Linked DNA regions of Saccharomyces cerevisiae S288C. The gene in region 2 interacts genetically with the main gene of each other region. Each region holds a gene or a part of one and is shown on either strand. Other genes may lie near its edges.

Region 1 (4,211 bases), on a different chromosome or scaffold from region 2:
GGCCCCGTACTGAATGTTGCCCTCGAGTGTGTTAATAAGCTTGATAACTACGATGCTTACATATGTATCTTGCGTTGCTTAGATGATATCATATCCTGGGGGTTCAAGACTCCACCGATCTCAACAGTGTCCATCGAGATTGTTCCAGATGAATGGAGGAAGCAAGTTATTAACGAAGTCGTGATAGCCCACGGTAACCAATTGATATTAGTGTTATTCATCGGGCTGGTTACTACTTTTGAAAACACCGCTCATTCAGATGCCATCAGTTGTATTGTAAAATGTTTAAGGATATTGACAGAGGCAAACAACAACGATGCCACTATTTGCATCGATTGGATTTACAAAGTGGTGGAACAACTTGGCCAAGTAACCCTTAATGAAAGAGATAATTTGGCGAAGGCCGTGGTTGAGGGGTTGAATTCAAAGGATTACAGAAAGGTGAGGGAAGGAATTAGGGCGTTTGTTGGATGGTATTCAAGAAAGAATATCAATTCGAGGTTTGAATAGTCATTTAATAAATAGCATATTGTTAATCTGCACAGAATGTATAAAAACAAAATAAACAATTTAATAAAGATAGAACTTAAAGGTAATTGAAGTAGAAAAAATTAAGTATTAAAATATTGTAATTAAATATAGAATTGTTAAGAAGAACAAGGAGAAATAGTGACATATGATAAACATCTCTTCACACATTCTGGTGACTCAATTTTCTGAGTACATCAGGATATGCCCTAAAAATCTCATCAAACCTATGAGGGTAAGAATGATGGAAGACCTCCGGGTCATTACCAAGAGCAACAAAGAAAGTTGCAGTACCGGATCTAATGGCTTCTGTTGCAATGTTGCAAATCTGTAAAGCAATAACAAATGAGAATGCCATTAGGGCGCCGTTGTAAGCGCCGTTCGAATTGTATTGAGGCGAGGTAAACCTTAGATACAAGAACGTGAACAAAGCGGTCATATAACTAGCAAACATTGAAAATAGACCCAGTGCAATGTTAATTAAATTATCATTGATTAGGGCGTCCATTCCCTTTTCTCTTAACATATACCAGGTTTCTTTGGCCGCTCTTAAATACGGTTTACCATAAAGAGCGATGAACGAGTATGCATAATGATTGAAATACTCGGCGAGCCACTTCAGAAAGCCGATAATCCAGTCAAACACCATAAACAAAATCTGGATGGCAATTTGACCGCCACCGCTGGAGGTAACATCGTGTCTGATCATTTGCAATATTTGTCTCAACAGGTCGATCAAAGCGACTAGCAAGGACCCAAAGCAAATGGAACCGAACGAGTAAGTCATGGCTCTCTTCAATGCTCCAAATGCGGGCCACCTTGGCATTCCTTGGTCAGACTTTGACATATAATACCAGCTGCCAAAGACGCCAGAAATAACACAATGTATGACGTTTCTTATTACTTCAGAGATATAATAGCCGCAGAAAAAAACCACAACCAAAACACCAATCAATTTGGAATGCGAACAGCTGCCACCAGAAACGTCACAGCCGCCATTCGAGCTATTAGGATCGTACTTTATGTACGTAGCCACAATGACTGCTGAGAAGAGAAACCCAAACGCACTAGCAACTAGCGCTCCAACAAATGAAACAAAGAAGATCTGTGGGCATTTCTTCATGGCATCGACGACGACTTTCAATACCGCCACAGAAAGGGGAATTCTAGACCTCATACCCCAGTAGCACCACGCGGTCATGAACGTGAAGACTAAAAACACAATACCTGCAGACCAGTACCTCAAAGACATGTACATGATGGCAGTCCCAAGAGAAGCCACTAGGTTGATGACCATACCGCAATATATAAACTGCTTCGGAAAAATTCGACAAAGTGTGAGGCCCAAAACGGAGAATACTAGGGCAATAATGCACACGAAAACTAGCAGGATGGCAGCATTGGTGTTCAGCGTACCAGTATTCACACCATCGTATATTCCGGAACCCGTACTGCTATAGGTTTGGGACCACGCTCTTAAGGTTATGGCAGCAATGGCGATGAATCCGCCTACCGTGCATAGGAAAAAAATGGTAAATGGCCAATCGTTCCACCTGGGCTTGTTGTCATTTTCAGTAGGAAAGGCCTCGTCGAAGCTCCCTATAGGAGCCCCACTCGTTTTGGAATTTAGATTGTAATATTGATCCTGTCTAAAATGGTACGGCGTCTGGCCATCGTTGACATTCGCCGCGGCAGAGTTCTCGGAAGAACTGGGCGGCCTATGGTTGGGATCATATGCTGGAGGAGGTTGCGGAGGCCTCTCGTATTTTTCATTCAATGGCATGACGTATTAATGTACCGATAATTATGGTCACTATTGATGGCCCTAATCGGAAATATGCACCTTCAAGTTTTTTATAATGCGCAATTAAAAAAAGTAAGAAAGGAATATAGAAGCATTCAATTGCTATGATTACCAATAAGTAGCGATTACGACTGAACTACATTCAACGAATATCCGCATATCAATATATATATAAGGGCAAGCTACGTATAAGGATATATATGTGATGATAATGTTATATATAGCTGGCAATTACGCCATTACGCAAACAGAAAACCCCTTAAACCCCTCAAGGATCTACCGAAGGAAGAATCCTGTTAGAAGGGAACATACCAACCACAAAAAAAAAGAAAAAAAAGCATTCTGCAGTAATTAGCCGTAGTGGACTTTGTTTTTCTTTCTGCAAATGGCCGTGCGGTGTCGGGCGGGGTCTCTCACTCAGTACCATTACGTGTGATAACTCCGCTGGCGAGGTGCGCCGCTCCCTGCAGGCTCTCCGAGAGGAAATCTCTTCGCGTATGCTTATCCTTCATCAAGACGTCTTGGTAAGGACAACATTGCTCTACAGGATGTCGCCGCGTATGTCGCTCGAAGGGTAGTGAATGGCTGCATGTAGTACATAATTTGCGAAAAACAGTGGGCTTGCCAAAATCTGCCTCAGGTGACAAGCCATTTTTCCAGTGGGATGATCTACTCGTGTGTAAGACATGTCGAAACGCACGCTGTTGCATGAAAAGTAGTCGTACGGTTGTATGTGTGGTGTACGGGTGTAAAAGTAGTCAAGCGTATGGCGGTAAGCAGCGATTCAGCAATTCTATATCTGAATAAAGTGAACTTTTGTACCATCTTTAGTAGCCAGTTGATTCATTTTTTTCTGTCAGGTGCGGCCCATCATCGAAGTGGGTTGATAATCTGGGTAATTATATAAACATTTTGATCATAAAAAAGAACTAAAAAAAGGCTTCAAAGTAGTCGCGCCGCGAGATTGCCTCGACTTAGCATTAATTGTCTTTGTAATCATCGAAAAGAGTGGAAAATTCAGATTGATTAATCAACTCTTCCCAGCCTGAGTTATAATTTGCCCAAAATTCATCTGTCAGCATCTGAATGATCTCTGATTGACTCTTTGCATGGTTCTTAGTTTCACCAGGCGAGGGTAACATTGGAATTATTGAGGGCGTGGGCGTTGGAACTGCAAGGCTGAGATCCCGCTGCCTATCACTCACAATTTTAGCTTCTGATGATGGATTATCGCTCTGCGGATCTAGTTCTTGTTTGATTTGTGCTAGCCATGTTTCCTCGGTCAACTTTCTGAATTCAATAACGTTGCCAAGAATAGTCCTATAGGTCCTTTCAATAGCTAGCTCTATCACAAATTGTGATGATCTATGCATTGTGCGTATTAATTCTTTATTTCCGACCGTGAACAAGCGATCGAAGATTGACGAGTACAAGCTCATTGCTGTACCTAAAGATAGATCCTTGTCTAAAGGAACAGTCAATTTCGTCAAATCCGACCATCCAACTTCCATATCGTTGGATAGACATAGTCCATTTTCGAAAAGCGTCAACTTAAAGTAGATCAGAGAACAAAAAAACACCAATGTTTTGGAAAAAAGCCCTGCCGTGAGGCTCATTGATAACGCCATATGTGGCGGTAAGTGCGGGTTGGAGGCTTCGAATTTCTCTGGGTAAAGTGCTTTGTCGATACGATAGCATCGAATTGTGGTATTCACAATGATGGAAAAATTGATCAAAACCAATTGAAACGTATTATTTTTGGATTCTATGTTTCTGACTTTCAGCACAGAATGTATTAGTGCATAAAACGACAATAATAGTCCGACTGCCATACTTAAAATTCTACTTTCCCTTAATGGAACTTCTTCCGATATATTTT
Region 2 (4,770 bases):
TCAGCTCTATTTATCTTTGACGCGTAATTTGATAATAGTGGAGTAGGATTCCTAAAATAAAACTGCCCGCTCAATAAATCAATTTTTAATTGAATAGGCGCCATGGAAACACATGTGGTAGGGAGTTGAAATAATAGAACATCCGAATTTTCTTCGTCTTCTTGGAATATATCCCTTGCCAACAGCTCCGATCTGATGATTCTAGCATGATTGAACATAATTTCATCCAAAATCCCTTCGATATTAGATACAATATTGTTATAAATTACAGGCATATTTTTGGCCCTTGATGCACTCTGGTTGTCCCATTTTAAGATAAGACTTTCTGTTGTTCTTTGAATGCCAATAGTGATCTTACCCTTACTGTCCATTTTCCCATTCAGCCAATATCTAACTGTAATTGTACTTTTTTTAGAGTCATAGTTATGGATCAAATTACTTTTGGAAAATTTACCGCCGTTGGCCAGCTTTAAAAACTCTCTATGAACCATGTATAGCTGTAATGTCAACACGTATTTGTGCAGAAAATTGTATAGGGATAATAATGGATCATTACTTTTCAAAAGAATTTCATTGATCAACTTCTCTAATCTTGGCTTATTCAAAGGAAGGTTATTTCCGTTGGAACTTGAGTTTTCTTCATTGTTCTCACTATCGCCGTTAGTCGAAGTAGCTTCTGTAACTGCTGAAACAGTTTGTTCAGCTTCCGTGTTAAACAACAATTTTAAATCCACAAAAAACAGAGGGGACTGTCTATTAACAGTCGATAACTGGATTTCAAATTCATTAGGGACAGTAAAGTAGATTCTACCGTTTTTGATATGATAGCTGTTTAATGGTTTAGGAATGTTCATTAATGCAATTTTTATTGAGACAGTCAAGTTCAAATCTTTTAATCTCTGTAAAATCAATCCAATGGGAACTTTGGCCATTCCATCTACCATATCCATAGAGTTACTGACACCGCTTAATTTAAAGTTGTGTGTAGGTAGATTTGGCCTCCCAAGACTCAAAACTTCCAAAGCGGTGACCAAATCCACGTTGGGCAATTTAGCATTGGTCATAGAGTTTAGACTGCTTTTCAAAGCCCAAATACAATTGTTGACATTCATGTTAGTCGTTCTAAACCAGTTCAACAGATCGATTAGTACGTGAAAGTTGTTTTGTTTTATAGTACGGGTCCATTTCACAAGCACGTAAAGTTTCAAAAATTGTGTCCTTAGGAATATAATCAGCTGTAAGAAACGTATTTTCTTTGCGGAGTTAGGCTCATTTGCCTGGGTGTGAACATTAGTTTTCATGTACTGAGCAAGTTCCTTCATTGTAAATACCGTCAAGTTCCTTATTACTAATGCCAGACTGACTTGATTAATCTCAACATGCGGCAACGCTGGCGGAGGCGCACTTGTCATAGTCGCTGCACTTGTATCTTTCGGTACCATTTCTAGAGATTCTTTTTGGGTGGCCGTAGTTTCCGGGTCGGTTGCAGAAGGGCCATGCAGTTGAGTGTTCTTAACGGGACCCTGTTGCTCTTGCCCATTCTGCTCGGACCGGTTCTTCAGTGCGTGCATCTCGTTAGAAAGTCTCTCCTCATTAGCCAGCATTTGTGGGGATCCTATCGTGGTAGTCATTGCCCAGCCAAGAAAACCCTATACTTTCCTGCCACTTTTTAACTCTTTTTCTGATGATCTTTACAACAGACCTCTACTAAACAATTGAAAAATTCACCGTTTTTACTTGAACCAGCGACCGTGCGATGGGACAATCGTTTAGTTAACAATAAGCGGGACAAAGTAATTAAATTTAGTGGCATCTAGAGAGAATAATTGAACGCAATGAAGAGAGCATGGTACGTTGAATTGTAGAATGTGGGGGGATAGTATGCGCGAGCTTGGTGACGCTATGGATAATGAGTTGAATGCAGTGAAGCCGGTGGTGGAAGAAGGTGGCATGGATGGTGCCAGAAAATTTATTAAGGGTAAGAGCTTTCAGAAGTCTTCTACCGAACATATGTTGATTTCGCCCGGTAGGGATGGTTCAGTGCCATTGAATGGGTTGAAATCGTCGCCGGCAGACCCGCACTTGTCTGATGTTAATTCTATCTTGGACAATCATCGTGGCGGTGGCGAGACAGCTTTGACGTCTGTAAATAATATTATCATGGCCACTTCGACGAATGGGGACAGTGATGGGGTTGATGGAGATGCCAAGAGGCCGTCTATTTCTAACTGTTCGTCGAGATCATCATTTTTTGACACCGTACTGAGCACGTTTTCCCTAAAATCAAATTCACAAGATACGGTTACTAATGAAGTCAAAAATATTGAGGTCCAGTTTGCATCCGAGGAGGCTAATAAAAAATTCCGCCAAATGTTCAAGCCATTAGCTCCTAATACGAGACTTATTACGGACTACTTCTGCTACTTCCACAGAGAATTCCCCTATCAGGGCAGAATCTATCTCTCCAACACACATTTATGTTTCAACTCAACCGTGTTGAACTGGATGGCAAAGTTACAGATTCCCTTGAATGAAATTAAATATTTAGATAAGGTCACCACAAATTCAAGTGCTATTTCGGTGGAAACCGTGACTAACAGGTACACTTTTTCCGGATTCATAGCGAGAGACGAGGTTTTCCAATTGATTACAAGAGTTTGGTCAAAGGAAAACTTAACCAATATCAATGACGTTTTGGAGGTTGATGAGAGGGTCTCCAAGAAAAAGGGAATATCATCGACCCCTTCTTCCATATTCAACAATGTTTCTACCAATGCATATAACGATTTCATATCGACAACCACTACTGAACCAACAAGCAGGGCTTCCTACATGAGCGAGAACGACATGCTCATCGAGGAGGCCATAAGGTCCGTGGACGATTACATGGGCACACCAAGAGCATCGCCATCTTCTTCATCTTCGTCGTCATCGTCGTCATCGTCTTTAGGCTCTTCAACAACTTATTATTGTAGGCCCGTATATAGGTTAAAGCCAAACGCACCATTTCAATATGAGGGGCCATTCCATGTACAAGAAACCATGGACTTTCCTTATAAACCTGAGGCTAATAATGAATACGTGCTTCTGGAACGTCAATTCAGCGTTCCACCCGGCCTACTTTTCATTATGATGTTCAATGAAGATAATCCAGTTTTTGAGTTAAGCTTTTTGAAAACTCAAGATTCGTCCAACATCTCACACATAGGGACTTTTGAAAAAGTCAATAAAGATGGACAACATTACAGAGAATTCCAATACACCAAACAGCTGCATTTCCCTGTGGGGCCCAAATCCACAAACTGTGAGGTAGCGGAAATTCTTTTACACTGCGACTGGGAAAGGTACATAAATGTTTTAAGTATAACAAGAACACCAAATGTTCCTAGTGGTACCAGTTTCAGCACCAGAACGAGGTACATGTTCCGATGGGATGACCAGGGGCAAGGTTGCATATTAAAAATAAGTTTTTGGGTGGACTGGAACGCATCCAGTTGGATCAAGCCAATGGTAGAGAGCAATTGTAAAAATGGACAAATTAGCGCCACTAAGGACTTGGTAAAGTTAGTCGAAGAATTTGTAGAGAAATACGTGGAATTGAGCAAAGAAAAAGCAGATACACTCAAGCCGTTGCCCAGTGTTACATCTTTTGGATCACCTAGGAAAGTGGCAGCACCGGAGCTGACGATGGTACAGCCGGAGTCGAAACCAGAAGCTGAGGCGGAAATCTCAGAAATAGGCAGCGACAGATGGAGGTTTAACTGGGTGAACATAATAATCTTGGTGCTCTTGGTGTTAAATCTGCTGTATTTAATGAAGTTGAACAAGAAGATGGATAAGCTGACGAACCTCATGACCCACAAGGACGAAGTTGTAGCGCACGCGACTCTATTGGACATACCAGCCAAAGTACAATGGTCAAGACCAAGAAGGGGAGACGTGTTGTAACAGAGTAATCATGTAATATTGTATGTAAGGTTATGTATGTTCGTATGGTATGGAAAAAAAAAAAAAAAAAGGATGCTATGTGGAGAATGTAAGGCGTGGTAGCTCCGGATAATTCAGTCTGTAGGCTTCATCACGGGCAGTGGCCTGACTCTGAGAGCTTGCTCCGGTATTAAGTTGTGCGTTTGAAATTTTCTGGAAAAAAGAAATTGATTGGTTGAAGCTATACTCGTCGAAAGATTTCTTCGGCAGTGGTTGTTGCTCCACCTGCACGGGAGTTGTGTTTGCGTTTATGTTCGGCTTGGCTATATTATTAGCGAGTGATGTTTGCAATTTGCTGTATTGAGAATCAATTTGGGTGCGTAAGCTTTCAATAATTTTGCAGACCGCAGGCACTTCCAACTTTATGAGTTGCAGGTATTCTCTTTTATGAATATACGATGACGACGATGACGACGACGCATCCATGCGCAAAAGCTCAGGGTGTCTAGATAGTTTGTTAGTCAATAAATCCACATATCTAAAATAATAAATAAACGACAGCGACAAGTCGTTGGCCTGGAACGCACACTGTGCCTTTTCCAATATGCCGATGCATGTTTTCAGGTAAATTCTCAATGGTATCGCCGGATTGAAGCGATAATCCTTAGCGTCCTGAACCAATTGCTTACTAGACTTCATGACCTACCGGGGCCAGATAAAGATGCGGAAGGAAGAGAAAAAATGTATAGTGGTTGGTGAACCGCAACAATAATTCGTGCCAACACTTTAATCGAAGCAAAAATTGTCTTGTATGTTATTAATATTATCTATCTAACCATTGAT

Evidence for each region.
Region 1: mutations in LAM6 (region 2) and PNS1 together harm fitness less than expected from each alone (positive genetic interaction), as found in Saccharomyces cerevisiae (one large-scale study listed by BioGRID).

Annotation. Positions count from the first base shown.
Region 1 is NC_001147.6:636,248-640,458, forward strand, and holds PNS1 (Pns1p), read right to left. Parts: upstream 2,312-4,211; coding exon 692-2,311; downstream 1-691. Other genes in the region: mRNA transport regulator MTR10, read left to right, coding at 1-510; YOR161C-C (uncharacterized protein), read right to left, coding at 2,874-3,020; YRR1 (Yrr1p), read right to left, coding at 3,313-4,211. UniProt on the Saccharomyces cerevisiae protein: Probably involved in transport through the plasma membrane.
Region 2 is NC_001144.5:276,996-281,765, forward strand, and holds LAM6 (Lam6p), read left to right. Parts: upstream 1-1,866; coding exon 1,867-3,948; downstream 3,949-4,770. Other genes in the region: RGR1 (Rgr1p), read right to left, coding at 1-1,631; RFU1 (Rfu1p), read right to left, coding at 4,024-4,626.